2 linked regions of the Nothobranchius furzeri genome follow. The protein of the gene in region 2 purifies or fractionates together with the protein of the main gene of each other region. This does not show direct contact. Links are inferred from orthologs where the notes say so. Each region holds a gene or a part of one and is shown on either strand. Other genes may lie near its edges.

The links.
Region 1: the proteins of iars1 (region 2) and lars1b purify together in Homo sapiens (affinity purification with mass spectrometry; 7 studies listed by BioGRID and IntAct, counting the BioPlex papers as one, with this or other methods). This does not show direct contact. The link is inferred for Nothobranchius furzeri from reciprocal best matches to the Homo sapiens genes IARS1 and LARS1.

The regions. Positions count from the first base shown.
Region 1 is NC_091750.1:55,309,752-55,313,574, forward strand, and holds part of lars1b (leucine--tRNA ligase, cytoplasmic), read right to left. Parts: coding exon 3,813-3,823; intron 1,951-3,812; coding exon 1,868-1,950; intron 1,084-1,867; coding exon 945-1,083; intron 674-944; coding exon 461-673; intron 1-460. UniProt on the Homo sapiens protein: Aminoacyl-tRNA synthetase that catalyzes the specific attachment of leucine to its cognate tRNA (tRNA(Leu)).
Region 2 is NC_091743.1:62,670,784-62,674,606, reverse strand, and holds part of iars1 (isoleucine--tRNA ligase, cytoplasmic), read right to left. Parts: intron 1,607-3,823; coding exon 1,462-1,606; intron 1,016-1,461; coding exon 895-1,015; intron 688-894; coding exon 596-687; intron 306-595; coding exon 228-305; intron 1-227. UniProt on the Homo sapiens protein: Catalyzes the specific attachment of an amino acid to its cognate tRNA in a 2 step reaction: the amino acid (AA) is first activated by ATP to form AA-AMP and then transferred to the acceptor end of the tRNA.

The sequences.
Region 1 (3,823 bases), on a different chromosome or scaffold from region 2:
CCTCTTATGTGCTAAAGAGAGCTGTACATAGAGAACAGTAGCTCTACTCTAAGGCCCTCCCAGATATCCAAGCTTCTCAGTGAATAGAAGCCTGAGAGGATATGGGTGGGCGTGGCCAGCTCCAGCTTGTTTTCTTAAAGTGACAGAGTGCTGAAGCGACTCATTCCGGAAGGTCCTAAAATATCATGATGGATAAAACTGCTGAGATGGTTTATGTGAGAGGGATCTAGTGCAAAGAACTTCAGAAACACATTTTGTATTGACCATAGAACTGTTATAACTTAAGAAAAATAAGTCTAAACGTGTCTTCTTTTAAGGAAATGCCAGTTGGATGACAGGCTGAAACTGTAATTTACCCTAAATTACAAACTGTTATTAACACGTTATTCTCCAGGCAACAGCCTCAAACTTTGCTCTTGTAAAATAAAACAGTTGTCTCATTCGCTTTAAGAAAACTCACTTGTCTTTGGGCCACATAGCGACATGGTTGTACAAAAAGTAGGAGAGATGGTTGGGCACCAAGTCTTTGCCAGACACACGGACATCCACAGGGTACCAGTACTCAAACTCTCTCCTCAGCCTCTGCAGGTGCTCCTTAGGGATGCTCGTCTTGGGGAACGGAGACGTTTTAAAGAAGATGAAGTCCCACACCTCTCTGGTCATCTGTTCTGGTCTGTGAAGGACAAAAACCAGAGGGAAAGGTAATATGTTTGAAAGTAGGCTGAAGGTCACTTCCGATTTAGGAATCAAGTTTGAGTCTACTTAACTTGGATTACAGCATGAAATTACATTTTTGTTTTGTTAATTAAAGCTAATGATTACAAAATAGTCTCTTCCACCTCACTGGTTATTTGAAGGCAGAAAACGGAGGGCCAGCTGCATTTAGTTTAACAGTTAATTATTATTATGTGAGTGAGTGTGTCTGTGGAGGGGTGCATTCCTACTTGATTCCCAGCGGTGAGGCTCCTTGACCATTGAGCACACCCCCCTGGAGGAGGTGGGCTACGGTGTAGTAAGCCATGTAGATCGTGGAGTCCGATAAAGACTCAATCAGCCACTGCTCGTCCCAAGGCAGCCGTGTTCCTATGGTAACCAGGAGATGGGCACCCATACAATCACACACAACCAGAGAGAGAGATGGAGGAGAGATTAAATTAGTAAGACAACATGGACCCAGAAATTAGACAAAACAAACTAATCAGATAATCTGACATCCACCCAGCTCTTGTTTGAGCATTTCCACAAAACTAAAAAGTTTCTTACCTAATTTATTCACAAGCTCTGAGTCCATAATGATGTTTGTGGAGAATTTAACATAAAAAATTCCCATTCTCACTCCGTCGTTGATCACAACAAGCTACTTTAATGTTCTGACATTCTACAGTCCCAAGTTAAAATCTCTTCATCACATTATAATAAGCACACATTTACATCTTTGTTCCAGAATCCAGACTGAGATTTTTTACAACAATCATATTTAGGTGAAAAGTCTATGAACAGCGTGCTTCATATCGGTCTACAGCACACCGTGCATCTGCCTGGCATTTTGTTGAAATTAGCTAAATGTAGACACATTTTCACAACGTCTACAGAAAGTCTGGGCTGTGCAGCAGTCTTGTAATGCATGCCAACTGGCCTTCACACTGCATCTATTCTTGTAGGAGAAGAGGCAGACTGTTGCTAAGCGCATAATTATCAGCCCTCTGTCTCCATCTATGGACCAAAAATGTCATCCATTAGGGATTTTTCCCCCTTCAGCTTTCACAAGCTTGTAAATAACAAGAGTAAAAGTTAGGATTTTACTTCTGGTTATGAGAACGTTAACATTAAAGTCGATGGATCACACACAGGCAAGGAGCTCACTTACCGAGCCCGTAGGTACGAGAGCAGGCATGTTCCTGCAGCCAGGCCAAAGTTGCCTCGAAGTTTCTCCTCGTCTCTTCACAAAATCTAATTGTTTTAAAGAATGTCAGGTAGTTTATTTTTATTGCAAACAAAGAAAACATACATTTTTTTTAAAACAGAAAAAAATATATAAAATCATCATACTTTTTTCTTCTTCTCTGTCTGAAAAGAAGTAGGACGAAGTCGAAACTTACATGTCCCTACCCCTTTTATACATATCATTCTGTACTTATCCTTAGTATTACTATACCAAATGTAACACAACACCACACTAAAACAACAAATAGTGCAAATCACACAAACAACCAACTGTTGTAAAATTAGCTTGCAGTTAACTTGTTCATTTTTCTATTTGGCATCAACAGACAACAAGGTAAATTAATACACTCGCTGGCTACTTTATTGGGTACACCTGTCCAACTGCTCGTTAATGCAAATTACGAATCAGCCAATCACATGGTGGCAACTCAATGCATTCAGGCACGTTGACATGGTCAAGACGATCTGCTGCAGTCCAAACCGAGCTTCAGAATGGGGAAGAAAGGTGATTTAAGTGACTTTTAACGTGGCATGGTTGTTGGTGCCAGAGGGGATGGTCTGAGTATTTCAGAAACTGCTGATCTTCTGGGATTGTTGCATGTAACCATCTCTAGGTTTTATAGAGAATGGTCCAAAAAAAGGGAAAACATCCAGTGAGTGGCAGTTCTGTGGGTGAGAACGCCTTGTCAGAGGAGACATGGCCAGACTGGTTCAAGCTACTAGAAAGGCAACAGTAACTCAAATACCCACGTGTTACAACCAAGCTATGCAGAAGAGCATCTCTGAATGCACAACATGTCGAAGCTTGAGGCAGACGGGCTACAGCAGCAGAAGACCACACCTGATGCCACTCCTGTCAGTTAAGAACAGGAAACTAAGGCAGGGTTTCCCCCAGTGCTTTATAAGCCTGGCGGCCCGCCATACTTTGCTTGGTCACCCGCCAGGCTAAGCATCATGCCCCGCCCTCCCCGACCCTACCATGCCCCCTAACACGAATGGCACACGGCAGTGAAACAAAAGTAGGGCCCTCCATCAGCTGATAGTGGTGAGAAACGGCAGCCGATCGTGTGCACGGGCTCGATTTCTGCTGTGACATTCGGATGATTGGGTAAGAATCAGGCATCAACAACATGAAAGCATGGATTCATCCTGCCTTGTATCAGTGGTGGTGTAATGGTGTGGGGGGCATTTTCTTGGCACACTTTGAACCCCTTAGTACTAACTGGCAGGATAATGCGCCATGTCATAAAGCTCGAATCTCAGACTGGTTTCTTGAACATGATAATGAGTTCTCTGTACTCAAATGGCCTCCACAGTCACCAGATCTCCATCCAATAGAGCGCCTTCGGGATGTAGTGGAACAGGAGATCTGCATCGTGGATGTGCAGCCGACAAATCTGCAGCAACTGTGTGATGCTATCATGTCAATATGCACCAAAATCTCTGAGGACTGTTTCCAGGACCTTGTTGAATCTATGGCACAATGGATTAAGCCAGCTCTGAAGGCAAAAGGGGGTCCAACCCAGTACTAGAAAGGTGTACCCAATAAAGTGGCCAGTGAATGTATATTCTCTTTAAACATATTTTGTGCATTCATTCTAAGTGTTTCTTCTGACTGTATTACTTGGTTCTTTTTAACACAAAGAAAGGTTGTTTTACCTTCTTTTTTGCTGACGTTTCAACTACTCCTGCATCCTTCTTCAGTAGGAGAAGGAAGTGACGCTCTGGAGAAGACTGCAGGAGTAGATCAAACGTGTTTCTGTGTTAAAAAGAACCAAGTAATGCAGTTAGAATGTATACTCTCCCTTAATCAAGACAACCTCTACAGGACAGGTGACACAGACAAAATGTGGAGGTCAGTTTCTCACGTCTCTAATGA
Region 2 (3,823 bases):
TTCTAATTGGACTACTGGATTTAAACCCAAGCTAATTTATTTGCAAAGATCACAGCTGATCTGTACTGACCTGGGTTAGGCTAAGTGCCTCATAGCTCACATGCAAACACCTTCAATGTGTTGTGAATATAAGCTCCTACTGCTCGTGCATAATTCATAACACAATTTCAGTTTTTGCACCCCCATCCCCTTTCTGTCTTGGTTTCACCTGAAACCCAATGACTCACCATCAGCCTGCACATGGAGAACAGAACGCTGAAGAGGGTTTCCAGCGCCCACAGGCAGTCCTCAGTGCCACGCTCACCCTACAAGGATCACAAACACATCCATAAGTTCTCTCCCCTCAAGAGAAATAAAAATATAAAGACTCCACTGCAGACACTTGCTACGCACCCCACAGTCAAAGTCAACACAACGACTGAAGGACAGCCACAAAATCACTAATCAACACAATTTACTCCATAAAACAACAAATCTACTAACTATCTCTTCAGTACTTATTACATTTATGTTTCACCAGAGAAAAATTCTCAGATACGAAATGGATCTAGTGATACATTTCAATCAGGAGTTAATTTTGGAGCCGTTTTCTCACCTTCAGACGGCGCCTGTTGGTCCTGACGTACCAGTTGGTGAGCATGTCCACAAACTTGACCAGGCGAGGCACGACCGTGTACAAGCGGTAAGCTGCAACCAGAACCAACTGTCGAATTACGCTCCAAAGAATAAAGCATGATCTGGTTGCAGGCTCAGACATATTTCATGTTACTAAAGCTTAACAAGTATTTATTTAACTGAGAACATCTTCTGACTGTAGCCGAGAATAGCAGGAGGAGGTGAAGAAACATTTCTAAAAATGACAATAATTAAAAAGAGAGAGACAGAATGTGTCACCGTTCATCTCAGCCTTGAAGAACTGAATGAGAGACTGTGTGAACGACTGGATCCACTTGTCCATAATGTTGTCGCTCTGCTTCACCGTGTTCTCGTTGTACAGGAACTGGATCCTATCCTCCTGGATAATCATTGCAAACACAACAATTGTTTATATGTTCAGCACAGTTCATCACTAATGTAATCTGATTACAGTAATTGTATATTTTGTCTATTTAAAGTAGCATCGACACAAATATTTAAGGAGGGAAACATATTTCAGCCTTTTGCTCCTAATGATTTTAATCAAATTTTTAACAAAAGGAAAAATAAATGAATTTTAGTTCTGAAAAGTGGAAAAATCCTTTTCATCAAATTTGCAAAGAAATGATCATTTTTGGTCTGATTCCTTTCACTAGACAGTAAAAATAATACGAACACATTCAGATGAAGTCAAATAGCTTTTTTAATGTGATATTCAAGCGATGGTTTGCTTTTTTCATATAGAACTATGGGCTTGAGAATATAAATAGTTGGAGAAGAACAATTGTGTAAAGTTTTATTTATTTATTTATTTTACAAATATACCTTTTCCAATCTCTGAACATTCTGCACCAGGAAGCGATAGGCGTTGTACCACGGCAAGAAGACGTCCTTCAACACGTCTCGCACACCTTCCTCTTTGAATCGTAGGTTCTCCGCTCGCACCACAGGTGAGTTGATGAGATACAATCTAAACAAAGGCACAAGGAAAACATGGTTGTTTATAAGAATAAACAAAATGATTTTTTATATAGCTCCTCTCAAGATAAAAATCACAAGGAGCTTCAAAAGAACAAAAAAAAAAACAATTAATATATATATATATATATATATAAAGAGAGAGAGAGAGAGAGAGAGAGAGAGAGAGAGAGAGAGAGAGAGAGAGAGAGAGAGAGAGAGAGAGAGAGTTAGTGAGTGAAGCGGCTGGGATGAGAATCAGCTCCTCTAAATCGGAGACCGATCGTTCTTGATTCAGAAAAGGGTAGAATGTCTTCTCCGGGTCAGGGATGAGGTCCTGTCCCAAGTGGAGGAGTTTAAGTATCTCGGGGTCTTATTTATGAGTGAGGGAAAACTGGAGCATGAGATCGATAGGTGGACTGGTGCTGCATCTGCAGTGATGCGGGTGTTGTACCGGTCTGTCGTGGTGAAGAGAGAGCTGAGTCAGAAGGCGAAGCTCTCAATTTACCGGTCGATCTACGTTCCTATCCTCACCTATGGTCATGAGCTTTGGGTAGTGACCGAAAGAAAGAGATCGCGGATACAAGCGGCCGAAATGAGTTTTCTCCGAAGAGTGGCTGGGCTCTCCCTTAGAGATAGGGTGAAAAGCTCAGTCTTCCGGGAGGGGCTCGGAGTACACCCGCTGCTCCTCCACATCAAGAGGAGTCAGTTGAGGTGACTCCGGCATCTGGTCAGGATGCCTCCTGGACGCCTCCCTGGTGAGGTTTTCCGGGCATGTACAATCGGGAGGAGGCCCAGGACACATTGGGGGGACTATGTCTCTCACCTGGCCAGGGAACGCCTTGGGATTCCCCCGGAGGAGCTGGCACAAGTGGCTGGGGAGAGGGAAGTCTGGGCCTCTGAACTTAGGCTACTGCCCCCGCGACCTGACACCGGATAAGCGGATGAAAATGGATGGATGGATGGATATATATATATATATATATACTGTATATATATACAGTGATCCCTCGCTACTTCACGGTTCGTTTATCGCGGATTCACGACTTTGCGGATTTTTTCTTTGGAGCCTTATTCAAGGGAAATTCGCCGATTTGCGGTATTTTTCTATGAGAAATATCAAGAAATTCCTGTTTTTTTTCATCAATTTCATCATAAAATGCACTTTTTGAAATAAAACTATAAAAAAAAACAAGTAAAAAATTTTTTCTTGAGTTTTACCCACAAAAAGAGAATGTGATCATACGATAATTCAATATAGTACTGTATGTCAGACTGGTCGGCTGGATTCGGGAGTTGAGCTTGTAGGGAGCGTGGTTTCACAGACGCGGAAGTGAGAGCGTCGGTGAAACGCCGGCTCACGATCTAGGAAACCCCCGAGCGTTCGAGCGTCAACGAAGTGACACGGAAATGCCAGGCTTTCCAGAAGTAAGTAAGATAACTTACTATGAGCTGATAGTTCGTGGGATGGATCGGTAGGTTGGAAACTCTGATCATGAATCTGAAGAAACGATGACTGAGTGGTGAGCTGGAAAGGCGACTTCCGTTTATAGCCGTGACGTAGGTGCGGCGTGGAGGGAATCCCCGCGAGGGGCATGCTGGGAGTTGTGGTCCATAGTGGAGGCCGGCTAGCTGGAAGAGGCTGGCCTGGGAACTTGGGTTCTGACACTGTACTGTAAATATGGTGTCCCTACTTCGCGGATTTTCACCCATCGCGGCCAGGTCTGGAACGCATCTACCGCGATAAACGAGGGATCACTGTACATATATATATAGTGATTTTAAATGAGGTTGCATATATAAGTGAACCAATAACTTTTAACCCGACGGCTGAAGACAATTTTAAGATAATGTGATTTTACCAACTCATCTTGTTTTGCCTCTAATCCATGAAAGTTAAAACAAACAAACTTCATGTAATTACCTTTAACTGGTTTATTGAGCATCAACTCTGACATAAGTTTAAAATAAAGGCCTGAATAGGCAAAGCCATCAAGCACTAAATTATACACAAGGGACTGTAAATCAGGTAAAGGTTACAGTATACTGATGTGACAGAGAAACCTTGCAGAGTAGCCTTTGGTCTATTACATGCTCAGGCTGCTCAACTCAGCATAATTAGCGTACCATAAGTGGCTTTTCAGGAAATAAATAAATAAAATAAATGATTGAGGAGCCGGGAATAAGGACAGATTGTTGCCTTCTTCTTTTTTTAATTTAGCAGTTTCTT